Linked DNA regions of Caenorhabditis elegans. The protein of the gene in region 1 interacts with the protein of each later gene in a pairwise test. Each region holds a gene or a part of one and is shown on either strand. Other genes may lie near its edges.

The links. Proteins that work in one complex are often made in the same cells at the same time.
Region 2: the proteins of nhr-41 (region 1) and ric-8 interact in a two-hybrid assay, tested with the Caenorhabditis elegans proteins (one large-scale study listed by BioGRID).
Region 3: the proteins of nhr-41 (region 1) and mpz-5 interact in a two-hybrid assay, tested with the Caenorhabditis elegans proteins (one large-scale study listed by BioGRID).

The regions. Positions count from the first base shown.
Region 1 is NC_003282.8:1,384,441-1,389,239, reverse strand, and holds the start of nhr-41 (Nuclear Hormone Receptor family), read right to left. Parts: upstream 3,026-4,799; 5' UTR 2,952-3,025; coding exon 2,949-2,951; intron 1,398-2,948; coding exon 1,280-1,397; intron 1,227-1,279; coding exon 1,090-1,226; intron 1,025-1,089; exon of another isoform or gene 953-1,024; intron 633-952; coding exon 537-632; intron 1-536.
Region 2 is NC_003282.8:2,641,025-2,649,009, reverse strand, and holds the start of ric-8 (Chaperone ric-8), read right to left. Parts: upstream 6,032-7,985; 5' UTR 6,024-6,031; coding exon 5,886-6,023; intron 5,837-5,885; coding exon 5,735-5,836; intron 5,650-5,734; coding exon 5,565-5,649; coding exon of another isoform or gene 5,507-5,564; coding exon 5,437-5,506; intron 5,248-5,436; coding exon 5,070-5,247; coding exon of another isoform or gene 5,043-5,069; intron 4,597-5,042; coding exon 4,426-4,596; intron 3,650-4,425; coding exon 3,239-3,649; intron 1,897-3,238; coding exon 1,749-1,896; intron 465-1,748; coding exon 320-464; intron 269-319; coding exon 141-268; intron 1-140. Other genes in the region: nduv-3 (NADH dehydrogenase [ubiquinone] flavoprotein 3, mitochondrial), read right to left, coding at 6,991-7,142, 7,599-7,698. UniProt on the Caenorhabditis elegans protein: Chaperone that specifically binds and folds some, but not all, nascent G alpha proteins prior to G protein heterotrimer formation, promoting their stability and activity.
Region 3 is NC_003282.8:10,372,107-10,375,588, reverse strand, and holds mpz-5 (PDZ domain-containing protein), read left to right. Parts: upstream 1-1,766; 5' UTR 1,767-1,803; coding exon 1,804-1,827; intron 1,828-1,871; coding exon 1,872-1,982; intron 1,983-2,061; coding exon 2,062-2,190; intron 2,191-2,234; coding exon 2,235-2,360; intron 2,361-2,406; coding exon 2,407-2,493; intron 2,494-2,533; coding exon 2,534-2,923; 3' UTR 2,924-2,951; downstream 2,952-3,482. Other genes in the region: Ankyrin repeat and KH domain-containing protein mask-1, read right to left, coding at 96-265, 312-479, 530-643; iars-1 (Isoleucine--tRNA ligase, cytoplasmic), read right to left, coding at 3,110-3,232, 3,289-3,414, 3,468-3,482.

The DNA of each region.
Region 1 (4,799 bases):
CCTGAGGACCCCGGAAAGTGGGCGGAGCTACAATTCGACCGGTGATCAAAACCTGTTTTTAGAGAGAGCGCGCGCGCTCGCGACACTGTCCTTGTAGTCCAAACTTTTGGAAAAAAGGGTATTGGAATATTAGGTATACGCAGAAAATTTAGTAAATGATTTGAAAAACTCCAAGTCCTAACCTAAAATTGTTTTAATTCTAGTTAAAATTTTGTGTTTTTTTAGGTTGAGGCATTGATTTTCATTGTTTTTCATGTCGAAATTCGGATTCTGCGTGCAATTTCCGTTAATTTGACCCCCATAATGACCGGATTCTAATTATTTTAAAATTTTTGAAAATGGATCGAAGTGGCGCAACTGGGTAGAGGTTGGGCTGTAGCGCACAAGACCGGGGTTCGAGCCCAAGTAAGGGAAAATGTTTTTCTCAAGGTTTGTTTGGATAGTTAAAGTGTGTTAAAATAAAAAGGAATCCTAGAAAATCGGAAAAATTGGAAAATTTTTTTGAAAAAAAGTTCTTTGAGCAACATTTTTTTTACCTGAACATTTCGAAGGGCATTTAGCTGTTGAATGATATTTGGCATCATTGGTGGACCGACAACTGACGGGTGTCCTAACAATGGGTTTCTGGTAGCCTGGAAATTCAAAAATTTAAGGGAGAATTTAACAAAAAAAAAACAAATTTTGGGGCAAAAGTTAAAAAATATTTTTGAAAACGAGATCAAACCTTTCATGATATTTTTTTGAGGGAAAAAAAAGGTTATCGAATGACCTTCCACACACATAGACACATAGTAATTTTTCATTAGGGTCGAGAATTTGAGAGATATTTCGTTTTTTTTTCGAAAAAAATTGGACATTCTTTTTGCCCCCGCCATATAACTTTTTCCGCTACAGTCAGCAGGCCCCTCCCGCACACTCTTCTCTAGGCACTCGAGACCTCCTCGTTTCGTCCTCCCATGTGGTCTAGTGGTTAGGATTCGTGGTTTTCACCCACGCGGCCCGGGTTCGATTCCCGGCATGGGAAGTTTATTTTTTTATTTTTGCACTGCCAGTTTTGCCGAATTCTCATTTTTGCAGAAAATAGTTTACCTGCATCATTGCCATCAACTGTGGGTTGCTGAATACGTTTAGTTGAGCCGCCATTATTGCCGGATTGAACAAATTCGGCTGAATACCAGGGATTGGTGTGTTCGCATGCTGTGGGGGTTGGAAAGCTGTTGGGGTGCCTGAACATATTTATATTTATTTTTTATTCGAAAAAAATTAATTAGAATATTACCTGGCGTTGAGGGAATTAGGTGAGATTCTTGTTTGATAGCGGTCGGAGCAATTAGGCTCCGTGAGAAATCGATGGGTGGAGGTGGGGGTTGCTCGACGGAGCAAGGGTCACCCAGCGTCTGGAATAAGAAAATTATAATTTTTCATAAACTTTCCAGTTAATTAGCCTGTTTAAGACAATTTTTCCAAACTTTAAATTCAGAGAATTTTTTTAAAAGATATTCATTGTCAAATTCGAATTCTCCATGAAATTTCCGTTAAGTTGACACCCATATTGACCAATTTACAAAAATTTTGAAATTTTTAGAAAAGTCAAAAAATTGGGTCCCAGTGGCTCAGCTGGTCAGAGGTTAGGCTGAGTCAGAAGGTCGAGGGTTCGAGCCCAGTTGTGGTTTTTATTTTTTACTATAACTGTTTTGATGGTTGAAACAGTTTTAGAGTGACAGGAATTTCATTTTAGAATTTTTTTTTCGTAAATCTTTTTTTAACTCCCATAATTTAGACTTTTACATGTTATTTTGTACAAGAAATCAAAATAAAAAGAAAATCCCTCCTACCGGACTAGAACCCCGGTCTTCTGCGTCATAGTCTAGACCAACAGATACCCGACTGAGCCACCGAGACCAAATTTAACTTATCGGAAATAGGGCAATATGGGGGTAAATTAACGGATTTTAGAGATTTTAGACGGAAGATTCGAATGTTTTAATAAAATAATTGAAAAATTGAAAAATTAGCCTTTAAAAATTTTTTAAACAATTGTCCCGAAAAAAAGTTTTTTTCAGAAATTGTTTTGTATTGTGCGGTAAATTGGTGTAGAATTTAACGTTGAATACATTTTAATTGAAATATTGGTACTTGTGTATTACATGCCCTCATTTTTATAGTAATTTTTTAAGTTGTGCAAAATAAAAACGTGAACCACACTTTTGGATTTTTAGGCTTAGGAAATAAAATTTCCTAACTAGGGAACCGTCAGAAGGTGCCCATCGGACTTGCATATGAAACCTGTGCCATTCGATAGCTGCGAATCTCCAGAACCAAGCTCACGGCGAGCTCTCAAATATCCTAAAATAGCACTGTAACGAAGCACTTTACGATCAAAACAAGCAATTTTCCTTATTCACTTTGGTAGCTCATATCTCTGCGGATAAATTTTTCAAAGAAAAGTCATCAACTGATAAATTGTTGAACTTTTTGTAAAGAACAAGTTTGTAGTTAAAAGTTTTTACCAAAAGTTTTTTGTTTTAGATAAAAGCATTAAAATCGCAATAGCAGCAGTTGCCGCACTTCATGCGCTTCTATCTGAAACAACAATTTTTTTGACAAAAACTTTCAACTACAAACTTGTTCTTTACAAAAATATCAACAACATATTAGTTGATGACTTTTCGGTAAAAAATTTATCCGCTGAGATATGAGCTACCAAAGTAAATTTGGAAAATTGGCCCTTCACTACTTCGTTAAAGTGCTATTTTCAGGATCTTTGAGAGCTCGCCGTGAGCTTGGTTTTGGAGATTCGCAGCTAAAAATTCACGAGTAACCGTTTAATTTAATTTAAAAATGAGGACATGTAATACACAAGTACCGAAATATTTTCGATTTGAGTGCTAGTTCTTCAGTAAAACCTAAAAAATGTACAAAAATGAACGTTTCCTCAGAAAACTCACCATATTAATCCAAGTTTGATGGGATGCTGAAGCTTGACTCTCAGCAAATATTAGCCCAGTTGATGACGTGGAATTTTCTAGAATAAGGGGACGATGTGGGTGATCAGAGCACTTTGGCAAAGTGTACATGAGTATACAGAAACAAGAGAGAATAATATAGTAGTACAGTGAGAGGTGTTTCAGACCGTTATTCCTGGAGACTCTCCCCCTTATCACCGCGCCGCCGGTCAGTCAGCCGCTGCTGACCAACTGGAAATATGTTTCAAGCGGTGTGGCGCGCGGCGTGGGAAATAGTGCGCGAAACCGGGAGAGTGCACACAGAGGTGAGTGACCGTGGGGGGCATTGTATGCTAATAGCAACGCGGAACGAATTTTGGGGGCGGGGGGAACTGTACTATGTGTTGCGGTTTTGGTATAACAAAGTTGCAAAAAAAAAGGTCACAACTTTTGAGGAAAACGAACATTTAAGTCTTTAGCATTTGGGTTTAAACGTTTTAAACCTAAAAATTCGAATTTTACAAAAAATTTCCGTCAATATGACCCCCATATTGACCTATTTCGGTAGTTTTTAAATTGTCAAAAATTTCGGAAAATGGGGCGAAGTGGCTCAATCGGGTAGAGGCTGGGTTATGGTGCAGAAGGTCAGGGGTTCGAGTCCCAGCTTGGTCATAAGTTTTTGTTGCAATTTTTTGAGTGACAAAAATACAAAATTTCGAGCTAGAAACTAGTTTTCAACACTTTCCATGTGTCGAGTAATTTTCGTTGAAAAAATTAAATTTTAGTAAATTAAACGTCAAATTCGAATTCTCCATTAAATTTCAACGTGACTCCCATATTGGCCTAATTAAGATAATTTTGAAATTTTTTAGAAATTTCGTGAAAATGTGTGCTGAACTGGGTACATGTTAGGCTATGGCGCAGAAGGTCAAGGGCTCGACCCCAACGTGCACCAGAACATTTTTGCACAGCTTAATTTAACATAGTTTCCCCTGTTTTAAAGTAATTTTGACATTACACACATTTTTTTCATTATTTTGGAAAAAATTTACAAAAATGTAACTCTCACAAATTTTGTCAAAAAAGTTACACTGATGGAGTAAAATTTTTTTCATCAAAATATGGAAAGTATAGAAAATCCTTGAAAAATCCCCAAAAATCATATCCCCCGCTACCGGGGGATAATCGGTGTTTAGCGGAGCCGTGAACTCAATCTGTTAAATAATTTTTTTCTTCTGTGCCGGCCGGGGCGGATTTTCTTTTTTCATTTTCATTAAGATAATTTATAGGTGAGCGGCTTTGTTGCTTAAGTATTAGCTGTGAGGATTTGTTGTTAATTTTTTTTTGGAAATTTTTTTCGACAATATTTACCCATTTCATATGATCAAAAATGTACCGGAAAAAAAATTTGGGACCGGCTGGGGTCGAACCCTGGTGTCGAGATTCACAGCCAAACCTGTTAGCCACTGAGCCATCGCGGCGAAAATTGAAAATTTCCGGTTTTTTGGGCCAAAAATTTCACATACAGGGTTCAACCTAGTTTCCAACTCGAGATTCTTTTCTTGTTAGATGGAAAAAGTCTCACAAAAATATTCACCTACAGCGGGGATTGAACCCCTGTCTTCCGCGCGTCAGCCCAACCTCTACCCAGCGAAGCCACCGCGACCTATTTTTCAAACTTATAGGAAATGGCTCAATATGGGGGCCAATTTGACTAGAATTTTGATGAAGAATTCGAGTTTTTATATTAAGAAGTTCTTAGTAGAGTTTCAAAGATTTTTTTCGGTAAAAAACTATTGAAAACTTCCTGAAAAATCATTTTCAGAAATTTTCAGAAAATATTTTAGAACTATA
Region 2 (7,985 bases), 1.3 Mb from region 1:
TTTCATCAAATTTCGTGCAATTTTTTATATTTTTTTGGGGGGATTTCACCAATTGTTTTCCAGATTTTTCTGCTGCAAAAAACCTGAATTTTATGTCAAATTTCATCAAATTTTCGCGCAATTTTCTCCGAATTTCTCACCAGTTTCCATCATTTGATTCATAGCATCAACCAGCTTCATCGCTTCATACTCTTTTTGCTCTTCAGACATTCCGGCAAGTGCACTTCCGTGATCCGATGGATAAATTGCTCCGGTCACTGGATTTACACTGAAAATCTCTTTTTTTCCATGGATTTTATGCACAAAAAGTATAGCATACCTATCCTTAATCTGATTATAATCCTCAGTTTCACTATCCTCACTGTCCGACGCGTGTTTTGGTTGATTGATTTGTCCGAGAAGACCCAAATTTGCGAGGTGACCGGCCGAGTGGCCGAATCCAAGGTATTTGATCATTCGATTCACTGGAAAAAGGGAATTTTTTAAAGATAAACCCTCACAAATTTTCCAAAACTGACGTTTTTGAAGGCGGAGTACCGAAATCTGGGAAATATTTTGAATTGGCTCAAAATTTTCCCTTGATTGTTGTGGAATGGGGAGCCATTCCACAATGTCTCGTCCTACGATCTCTTCAGAGATCTCTCAGACGAGGTTTCTATGACAAAGAGCCGCAGAAGTCATTCTTTCTTCTGCGTCTCTCGCTCTCATACGCTCTCTCACAAGAGTCACACTCGCGCCCCACAGCGACATTAGCTGCGCGACGACTCAAGCGACGACAGGATACGCAGCCATTGGACGCCACCACTTCAGTCTTGATGCTGCGCTCGTGCCGAACGGTCGTGCGTGGCACTTCTCTCCCGACGCATCCCCCATTTTCCTTTGTAATTGCCCCTCACTATTATTCATGTACTTGCTCCGATATCCAAGGAGAACCCGACAATCTCTGATAACCAAAGAGAACCCGACAAACTCCAATAACCAAGGAGTTTCCAGGCCTTCCCCCTACTTTATCCTCTCTCCCTCTTGTATTGTAATTCTTATAATTACTATATAAATTAATATATTTATACATTTGTTCTGTCACTAGCTCTATATTCAAGTCTCCTCGGGAGCAAGACCACCGCATTCATCCGCACTGCCACAGCGCTCCTTCCAGACTATACATACTCTTTCTTCGGTCTCGAGTCACTCTTCGTTACGGCTTAAAGGCTCGGTCGCCGCCTCCGGGTGCCACAACATTGATTCCGAATATCTTTGTGAAAAAATTCAAAAAAAAAATTTCCCTGATTTTATATTTCAAGCTTGATTGAAATCACGAATTTTGTGGCGCCAGAGACGCCTTGTGTCGATTTACGAGATTTGTGTATATTTACGAAATATTTGCTTAGGTTGCACTCCTTGACGGAAAATCCATCCAAATTGAAGCTTTTTCCGACTGAAAACCGAACATTTTGCAAATTTTTTTATACCTTAATAGACCTTAAAAATAGCCGAAAATCAGGGAAACTCGTAGAAAAAAGGGGGAAGTCAGCATCTGATAAAGATTAAACATTTCGTAAATATACACAATTCTCGTAAATCGACACACAAGGCGTCTTTGGCGCCACAAAATTCGCAGGGATTTTTTTTCTGAATTTTTCACATAGATATTATTGGAATCAGGGGAATATTTGAAGTCATTCGAAATTTTTTCCAGATTTCTGTACTCTAACTTAAAAAAAAAACTTTGAATTAAGTTAATTTCGTACCTGATCTCTTGCAAATAATGAAAAGGAACTCGGCGGCGACATCTTTCGTTGACGACGGAAGCATCATAATTCTAGCGATTCGGCCACGTAGTGTATTGTTCTCCTCCGGCCGTTTTTGCACTTCTTCTGATACCAGTGGGGGAATTACCTGCAAAAATTCGAAAATTTTGAATTTTTTTTTGAAGCTTTCAAAAACGACATTTTCATATAATTTTTTAATAATTTTACTAGTGTATTTTGTGAAAAAAAAATTTTTTAATCAGAACATGAATAAATTTTTCTATATACCTTTTTAATTGACTCCAAATTTGCTCTCTGATTCCGAATATCTAAGTGAAAAAATTCAAAAAAATTTCCTTGATTTTATATTAGAGCCTAAAATCGCGCAGTTCATTTGTGCACCCATGAACTTTTTTCAAATTCGCGCCGAAATAAATTATCCTTGGAGCGCGTTTGTCTCAATTAATTTCAAAACGCGCTCCGGGGATAATTTTTTTCGGCGCGAATTTGAAAAAAGTTCATGGGTGCACAAATGAAATGCGCGATTTGAAGCCCAAATAGAAAATCAGGGAATTTTTTTTGAATTTTTTCACATCGAAATTCGGAATCAGGGAAAAATTTGGAGTCAATTAAAAATATTTCCCGGATTTCGGTACCCCATCTTTAATAATTTTACTGATGTATTTTGTGAAAAATGTTTTTTTAAATCAGATCATTTTTTTTTCATAGAGGCGGAAGATTTTTTTTTAAATTTTTTATAAAATGTCTTGAATTTTTTTCAAATTTTCAAAATTTCCCTATCAACACTGCAACTTTTTCCTCACGAGGGACGAGGAAAAGTGGTTTCTAGGCCATGGCCGAGGGGCCGACAAGTTTCAGCGGCCATTTATCTTGCTTTGTTTTCCGCCTGTTTTCTTTTGTTTTTCACAGCTTTTTCCCGTTTTTTCTTATTAAAACTGAAAATAAATATTTTTTGCAGATGCTAAAACAATTTCCAAGTGAAAAAATTTATGTATTCAGTGGGCAAGCAGCGGTGAAAGTGGGCATTGTAATATGATGGATTACGGGAATACAAAACCTAAACTTTTTCTGAAACATAATACATATGCTGCTTAAATGCTGAGACTACCTGATTTTCATAACGAGACCGCTGAAAAAGTTTTGAGGTTTCCAAAATTCAACTTTTTTGGTGAAAAAGTCGAGATTTTCGCACATCCGCTACTTGCCCACTGAATACATAATTTTTTTACTTGGAAATTGTTTTAGCATCTGCAAAAAATATTTATTTATCAGTTTTCTTAAGAAAAAAACGAAAAAAATCAGTGAAAAACGAAAGAAAACAGGCGGAAAACAAAGCAAGATAAATGGCCGCTGAAACTTGTCGGCCCCTCGGCCATGGCCTAGAAACCACTTTTCCTCGTCCCTCGTGAGGAAAAAGTTGCAGTGAAATTTTCAAAATTTCCCTATCAAGTGTTTTTTTTTTCACGAACCCGAATTCTACAATATCTGCGAACATATTTACTATCCGTACAAAGCCTAGCGAGAACTTGAAAATATGGTCCAACAAGATCTGTAAGTGTTGAAGCTTCTGCCGACAACATTGGATTCTGCTGCTGATTTGGAGCATCATTGAGCAGTAGAGCAACGACTTTTGTTAGTTGCTTATCCAAATGCATGAGAATTGCCTCGGTGAGCTGCATATTGCTAAGTTCCTCAACAAAGAATTTCTCCTCCTCGTTTTCTCCTCCGTTATTTTTTGAATTTTTTCCACAAAGTACTGAGAGGACCATTGGTAGTGGTGGAACTGATAAGCAATGAATTGCAGATTGAACGACGTCATCGGTGAGCACATCGGAGCAAATTGCGTCACGAAGGATTTGGCACGTTTTTGCCGCGTTTTTCTGAAAAAAAAAACTTTTTTTCGTCGTAATTTGTAGCAAAACTTTGACATTTTTTATGGAATTTTTGATACTTTTGGGGTTAAAAATTTGAAAAATAAATGAATTTTTTCAGAAATGTGCTTTAAAAAAATTTTAAAAAATTCTGACATTCCTAGATAATTTTACAAAATTTACCGCAATTTAGAAGAATTTTCACGAGAATTTAAAGCTGAAAAAAAACGAAAATTCAGAAAAAATGCGAAAAAAGCGAAAAAAAAAGAAATTTTTTTTTCGCAAATTTTTAATTTATTTTTTATTTTTTGGGCCAATTTCAGGAAGTTTCTCAGAATTTTTCTGCTCAATTCAAAAAAAATATGATATATAATTATATATTAAATTAATTTGTTTTTTTGGAAAATAAAAATAGAGTGATATTTCATGATTTAAAAAAAATGAAAATAAAACGAAAATCGATGATTTTTATCTTTTTTTTAATCTAAAAAAACCTCAAAAATCTCAAAAAATTGCATTTTTTATGACGATTTCTATAGAAAATCGTCATTTTTGGATTTTTGATATTTTTCAATGAAAATTCCTGAAAAACCGGAAAATTTCACCGATTAATCGTACGAAAATTGGAAGTTTTTATATGAATTTTTTTTTTTAATTTGGAATTTCAAGTTAAAAACTCGAATTTTTGTAGTTTAAAAAAAAAAAGTTTTAAAAAATTCAAAAAATCGCATTTTTAAGGTATAAATTTTGGTATTTCAGTTTTTTTTTTTTTTTTGAATTTTTACATGATCAATAGCCTTCACATCTCCGTGAAAATGGCAAAAAACGTTGAAAAACGTCTTCAACGCCTCGGTAGCTCGATTTATATCCTGAGTGCTGTTTTCTGATCGATTTGTGCAAATTTCGACGGCCAAAAGCAGAGAATCAATGGTTTTTGGGTCGTTGGCCCAGTTTTTCTGCAAAAAAAAAATTAGTTTTTCACAAAAAAACTAAAAATTTTCATGAATATTCGCAGATTTTCTCATAAAAATTGAAATAAAAAAATTTATTTTTTGTAAAAATTGATTAAAAACCTATAATTTTTATGTTTTCCAAAATTTTTTGTAAAAAAAAATCTGAAATAATAAAAAAAATTTCGAACCGCGACGCGACCGCAACGCGCGGTCCACAGTTTTTAAAAACTAAATTTGCCGATAAAAATCACACAAAAATCGGTTTTTTCAGGCAGAAAATTCAAATTTTTTCTGAGAAATCTGAATTTATTGAACCGCGACGCAACCGCAACGCGTGGCATCGCTCAAAACTCGAAAAATATGTGTATTTCCAGTAAAAAACGCTCGATTTTTCTGCCGATTTTACACGAGTTTTCTCCAAAATTCGGGTCATTTTTGTGTCAAAAAATTCAAATTTTTCGTGTCGTTTCGAGCACCTGAAATTCCCTGCCCAATGCAGTTGCAATAAAAGCGATCCGATGATAGAAATACCAAATTTCGGCGGCTTGAACCGGATTCAGAAGGCGAATCCAATCGATTGACGACGTTTTTCGGCGGTTTTCCTCGAATTCTCCGAGGAAAAATTGCAAATTTTCACCAGTTTTCGGGTTTGCACTGCAAAAATCGTGTTTTTTTTCTAATTTTTAGCTAATTTTCTTAGAAATTCAATTAAAAATCAGATTTTATAGATTTTTTTCTAATTTTTTTTTCGGAAAATAACCTTTTTTTCCACTTTTAAAGGATTTTTTACACTTTCCTATGCAAAAAATCACTTTAAAATCGATTTTTCAATTGAAAACTCACTAAAATCGATCTCTCATTCGTTGTGAGTGAAACAAAGTGTTGATTAGACATTTTTGCGCCTCCATTAGTGCTGAAATTATGATTTTTGGCGGGAAATTCGAGAATTTTTAGGCTCAAAATTGCCTTACTGTGGACAGTTTTCGAGTTATTTTCGTTTGACGAGAGTTCCGCGAAGGCGAGGATTTTATCGCAGAGCGGGTCGTTCAGGAGGCCCTGGAAATTGGGAAAATTGGGGTTTTTTAGTTTTTTAGCTGAAAAATCCGAATTTTCAGTTCAAAATTGCGTAGTATTTCCCTACCTCCAATCCATCTTTTTCCCTACTCAAAATCTTTATCGTCTCCAGCAGCACGTGGGTCAGCTCTCCGTTTTCTATAACCTCACAAATCCGGTCTCCGAGCTCCTGAAAACTGGAAATTTATTGCAAAAACTAATTAATTAAAATCTCTCACATTCTTTGCCGAGTTCGCCATATCGAATTTTGAGACAGCGGCGTTCGCGAAATTCCATTTCGAGAAGAATTCCTCGATTTTGGCAGGCTTCCCGCCGAAAATCGACGCAATCAGGTCGGAATGTAGTTCTTCAGACATGGAATTGCCTGAAAATCATGAAAAATTAATTATTTACGAGAAAAAATGCAATTTCAGGATCGAACAATTCAAAAAATCGCGAATTTTTGTGATGCTAAACAGCACGCGCATGCGGGATTTCGGAGCATCGTTAAAAATTGTTTTAAAAAAAGCGAAAAATTACTTTTTTTCCGAGGTTTTTAATGATTTTTTTTACGGTTTTTGTTGAAAAATAACAGAATTTTAACTGGTTTTCGGAAAAATTTCAGATTTTACTCTCTCCAATCGTATTTATGGCAGAATCAAAGAAACGAGGAGAAAAATAGTGAAAATTCGATTTTTTTTTTTTCACTAGCTTATTCTGAAAAAAAAACCCTTATTATTTGCATCGAAACACCATTTTTGGTCATTTTGAAGTGATTTTTCATTGAAGTAATTGCGAAAAATAATGAAAATCAACAATTTCGATCAAAATTTTGCAATTTTTTCGATTTTTCCCTCGAATCTCTCGAAAATAATGCGATTTTGATTGAAAAAATTAAAAATTCAATGAATATGACATCTGCTTCTCTGAACAAAAGCTAGCGACGCCCATCACCATGGAAACTCGCTGCTAGGTAATCCCTTGTGGCGGCAATCACCGTGGGAACGAGCAGGCATTAAAGAAAAATTGTGCTTCGGCTTATTATTGTGTTAAAATTTATTTTTTTAGGCGGAAAAACAGCAAAAATTCACAAAAAAAATTCGAAAAACCGCCATTTTTTGAGCAATGATAAACAACATGCACGTGCGGAACATCGGAGCATCGTTGTGTTTTTTTCGTTTTTCAACGACTTGTTACTAGATAATTAAGCATGGAAACAGCCATGAAATCAATAAAATTAAAAAATCTATGTAAAAACTCATATTTATACGAAAAATCTACACAAAAAAAATGATAAAATCCACCGAAAACTCTATTTTTCACACAGAAAATGTCGAAAAAAGATTAAGCTCGAACTTTCGGAAGAACGTCGGCCTTCTTGTAGGACGGCTGAACGACACGATCCTTGTTCATGGTGATTTCGGCGTGAGCGTACGAGTATTTGTCGAATTTCAGGTATTCGTCGCATTTGTACAGTGACCAATCGGGTTTTCCGCCTGAAAATTGAGAGATTTTGCGTGGAAATTGGATGGAAATTGGGAAAAACTTGTCTGAAATTCGATTTTTTTTCTAGAAAAATGCACATTTTTCCAGAAAATTAGACTTTTCATAGTTTTTTTTTCTGACAAAAATCGATATTCTGCTCATTTTTAATGTTTAATCAGAATATTTTCGGCTAAAATCGATTTTAACAAGAAAAATGGCGAAAAATCGACATTTTTTGCAGAAACTAGCTTTTTTCAATGAAATTGTAACTAAAAATTTAGCTATTCACAAGTTCTAATGCAAAAAATCAAATATTTCAGTGATTTTACGGGAAACATCGAATTTTCGTGCCATTTCCGCAAAAATTCAACTTTTTCAGCTATTTTTAAGGAATTTTTTGGCTTAAACTTTTTCAATACAATATTATGACGGATTATTATCTAGTTTAGAGTTTCAGAAAGCCATACCAGCGACCTGTCTGGCCTTCTCTGCGTGCTCGATTCCGGTGCTCGTTTTTGGAGCCGCCGACGCCATCCGACGAGCCGAAATAACCATCAAGCGGTTCATTTCTGAAAAAAAAAACTTATTTATCAATTATTTTACCAAAAAATCAATGAAAAAACTGAAAGAAACAATGAAAATCGATGATTTTCGAGATTTTTAATTAATTTCTTTTCCGAGTCGCGAGAAAAATCGATATGTGCCTTGGACGCTTGCTGGCGCGTTTCGTGATGTTTATTGGCGCGTTTCTCGTGCAATTGTTTCGGCGGGAGAATTCGAATCTTAAACTGTTTGCGGCGCGTTTTCGGTCATTTTTCTTCGATTTTTAATCAGTTTTTATCGTTATTTTGCAG
Region 3 (3,482 bases), 9.0 Mb from region 1:
GATATGTACTTTGTATAAGTGCTAATTTATTTAAGGTGAATACTCGAAAAATTCCAATTACTTATTCAATCAAAAATTTCAATTTGAAAACTCACGAGTAAGCCATCGAGGAAACCGAGGTAAGTGCATCGACAGCATTTTTGATTGGAACCTTTTTGGGATCCAAAGGGTTGTACGGTCCAAATCTTTCAGGTTTTTCACTTTTATGATCTTCAAGAAGGTCGGATATTTTAAAAAGGATTTGACAATCATCCATTTGTCGACTCTGAAATTAATAAAAATCGAGACTTTAAACTAATTGAAATATTTACCTCAATTATATCGAGAAGGTTGGAGACCGGGGGAAATCGACACTTGTCCGATGAGAGGAAATGCTCAAAATTGAGAATTTTGAGAACAGTTGAGATGGCTTTTGTCGGAAAATGCTCACAGTCATCGTCTTCGATTTCGATGGCAATTGTGTGAAGGCAATCGTAAAGCTAAAATATAAATTTATTGAAATTTTTTTAGTCGAACAAAAATAGCTCACCCTAGCACCAAAGTGGTAAAAAGATGAAAAAACTCGTTGTCGTTTTTCTTCGTCTGCTCCATCCATATCCATTTCTAATGGAATGAGGTGATTGAACATATTAAGGTGAGCCATTCCACCTTTGGCTAAACTAACACGGTGGTCTCGTCGCTTCTGAAATTTTTAAAATAATTGATATTGGAAAATTCTGAATTTTTAAGCAAAAAGGAAAATACAAAGAAAAATGATTGTTTTAACTGAAACAATAATCTTAATGGTAACTTTTCAAAACAAAAATTTTCTTCCGGAAACCTATGTGGCAGGTGAAGAGGATAACCCATAATTTCAAAATGTTGGAAAACAATTTATTGTGTTTCTTCCATGAAAGTAAGACACAGGCGATGTTCGGAGAAGTTGTAGGCGCGTGACAGACATAATACACGTCTTCTTCCATCTGCCCTTTTCGTTTCACTATCGGAACAACGGCATGGCAACGGGCATGAGGAGGAAAGGAATTAGGGAGGATGTGAGAAGATGAATCGATGGATGATAGTGATAAAGAAGGAACATATTGATTATTGTTCGCAATAACATTCTAGAAAATTTAGAAAATCCTAAAATTAGCATTCAAAAAAATAAATGACTTCGTAGATCCGAAACGCATGTTACTTTTTGAATTAAACATAATGATTTCTTAACAATCGATATAAACAATTTTCTCAAATATATTAAAACTAACTTTATCAAAACTAGAAAAAAATTATGGAGGATAATCCGAATACTCGCGCATAACGCATCCTCCTTTTCCCTAACGAAATCCAGTTACGAGCAATAGAAATGTAAACGAAGTAATATGAAAAATGATTTTGCAAACTTCAAAAATTAAATGAAACTGAAAAATTCAATATTCCTCCCAAAACCATGCAAGAATTGAGTCTTGGAAAGCTGGTTGGCAAATTCGAAAGAAAATAATGGGTTCGTAAAAGCGTCAGCACGAGAATTGCGCCAGCAACTTGTGCTGACGCATTTGCTGTGCGTGCTCCCAAAAAATAAAAAAAAGGTTTTTATGTTTTGTGAATAAAAAAAAGTTCTGTACAGAATTCTGTTTAAATGTTTGTAAAAAACAGAAATCGACAATTCGTGATAAAGAAGAATAGTTTTAAAAATTGTGTTATTTTAATATTAAATTTAATGTCACGTTTCCAATTATTTGGATTTAAGAAAACGTTTTATAAAACCTGAAAATCAAAAAAAAATCATTTCCCAATTGAGTTTTCATACAAACCGATCGAATTATGAAGAAAAATGAAAGCGGCAGCGTAAGACAACTGAAACGATTCAAAATAAACATAAATGAATTAAGTTGGCTCTTGATAAAGATTTCAACATTGACAAGCTTTTGCCAAAGGAATTGATCGACCATTTCATGATTCGAAAGCCAATAGGAGTTCGTGTACACAAGCAGGATTGTCGGGTAATTGTCAAATAGTATTTATTCAAATTCTTGAGCTCTTGATCTTGATTTTGGGACACCATACATAATTCATATTCAGATCACACATGTCCTTCCTGAATCACATCTTATTGGAAAAGCATTTCTAGGTGATTGTATCACTGCAATCGATGAAAAAGTTATCCACACTAGTGACGAGTTGCACCAAAAGTTGAAAGAGAAAACTGAGGTGTTAATATTTCTGAATCGAGTGTTTGCAAACGAAAATTTCAGAATATTCATCTACAACTGAAACGTAACATGTTTTCCTGGTGTTTTCATATTCGAACAACTGTTGAGAAAATCCAAATTGACAGAGATTTAGAGAGAATCACTCCAAATCCTGTTAACCATTACTTTGTGAGACAGCTTTTTAAAAATTAAAAAAAAAACTTTCTTATTTTAGGTTCTCATAAAAGTTCGTCCAACTCCTGAAATGCAATTCATTGACTTGGGATTATTTGTCAAATATAACAATAGAGATCGTTTGGAGGTAATTTAAACTTACAGTAACCACCGCATTTCATTTTCAGGTTGATTATGTTACTCCAAACAGCTTAGCATCCATCCATCTGAAATCTGGAGATGTCATTCGGGAGTGTAATTCTCAGGCAATTTGCTCGAAGAGCATGCTCCGTTATTGTATTGCGAGCAGCATCGCTTCTTCTGGACACTTTACGCTTCTTATTGAAGCACCAATTCGAGATATTCTCAGAGATCACATTGATTTGGCAGATGATGTTGTGGCAATTGCTGATAAGGCGGTAGAGGAGTTCAGAAAATTGGGGAAAGGATATCTACCACAACAACCGAAGAAAGGAGATAAGAAGAAAAACATCAAATTGAAAGAGGGACGTACAGAACATCAGATCGTTAGTGACATTGATCCTGCTAAACTGAGAGCGTGTAAAAATGCTAGCTGAATTTCTCTGATAATAAAGTTTCTACATTAAAATCCTTAAACATTCATAATTAAATATTATACGTTAACAGCAAACAAAATAGTGTAAGAAACAAATATGAGAAAAACTGCGGTTCAAATGGGTTCAAATAAAGCCAGGAACTAAAATGCGAACCGGATATGGATAATTTAAAGATGTAATAGCAATTTATCGTACGAGTTGAAGAGTCTGACCAACAAGAGACGTCACGTCAACTGTTGGATGGACCGCCGATCCATCGACATTCTTCAAGGCAATCTTACCGTTCCAGAGATCAAGAGCAGAGCGAACCTGAAACAAAAACAGATTTAACATTTTAAATTTCTAGGAAAACCCGATAAACATACGTGATATAGAAGATCAGCATATCCCTTCAGGTGTTCTTTTTCTGTTTTCACATGAACTCGAACTTTCTTTGATCCATCAACAACAGTGATCCCATCGAAACTGTCACCTTCGGCGAACAACCAAAGCTGAAAATAATTGTTCAGGAATATTAGAGAACATCAACAAAAACGGAATTTACCTCAACTTCTGAATC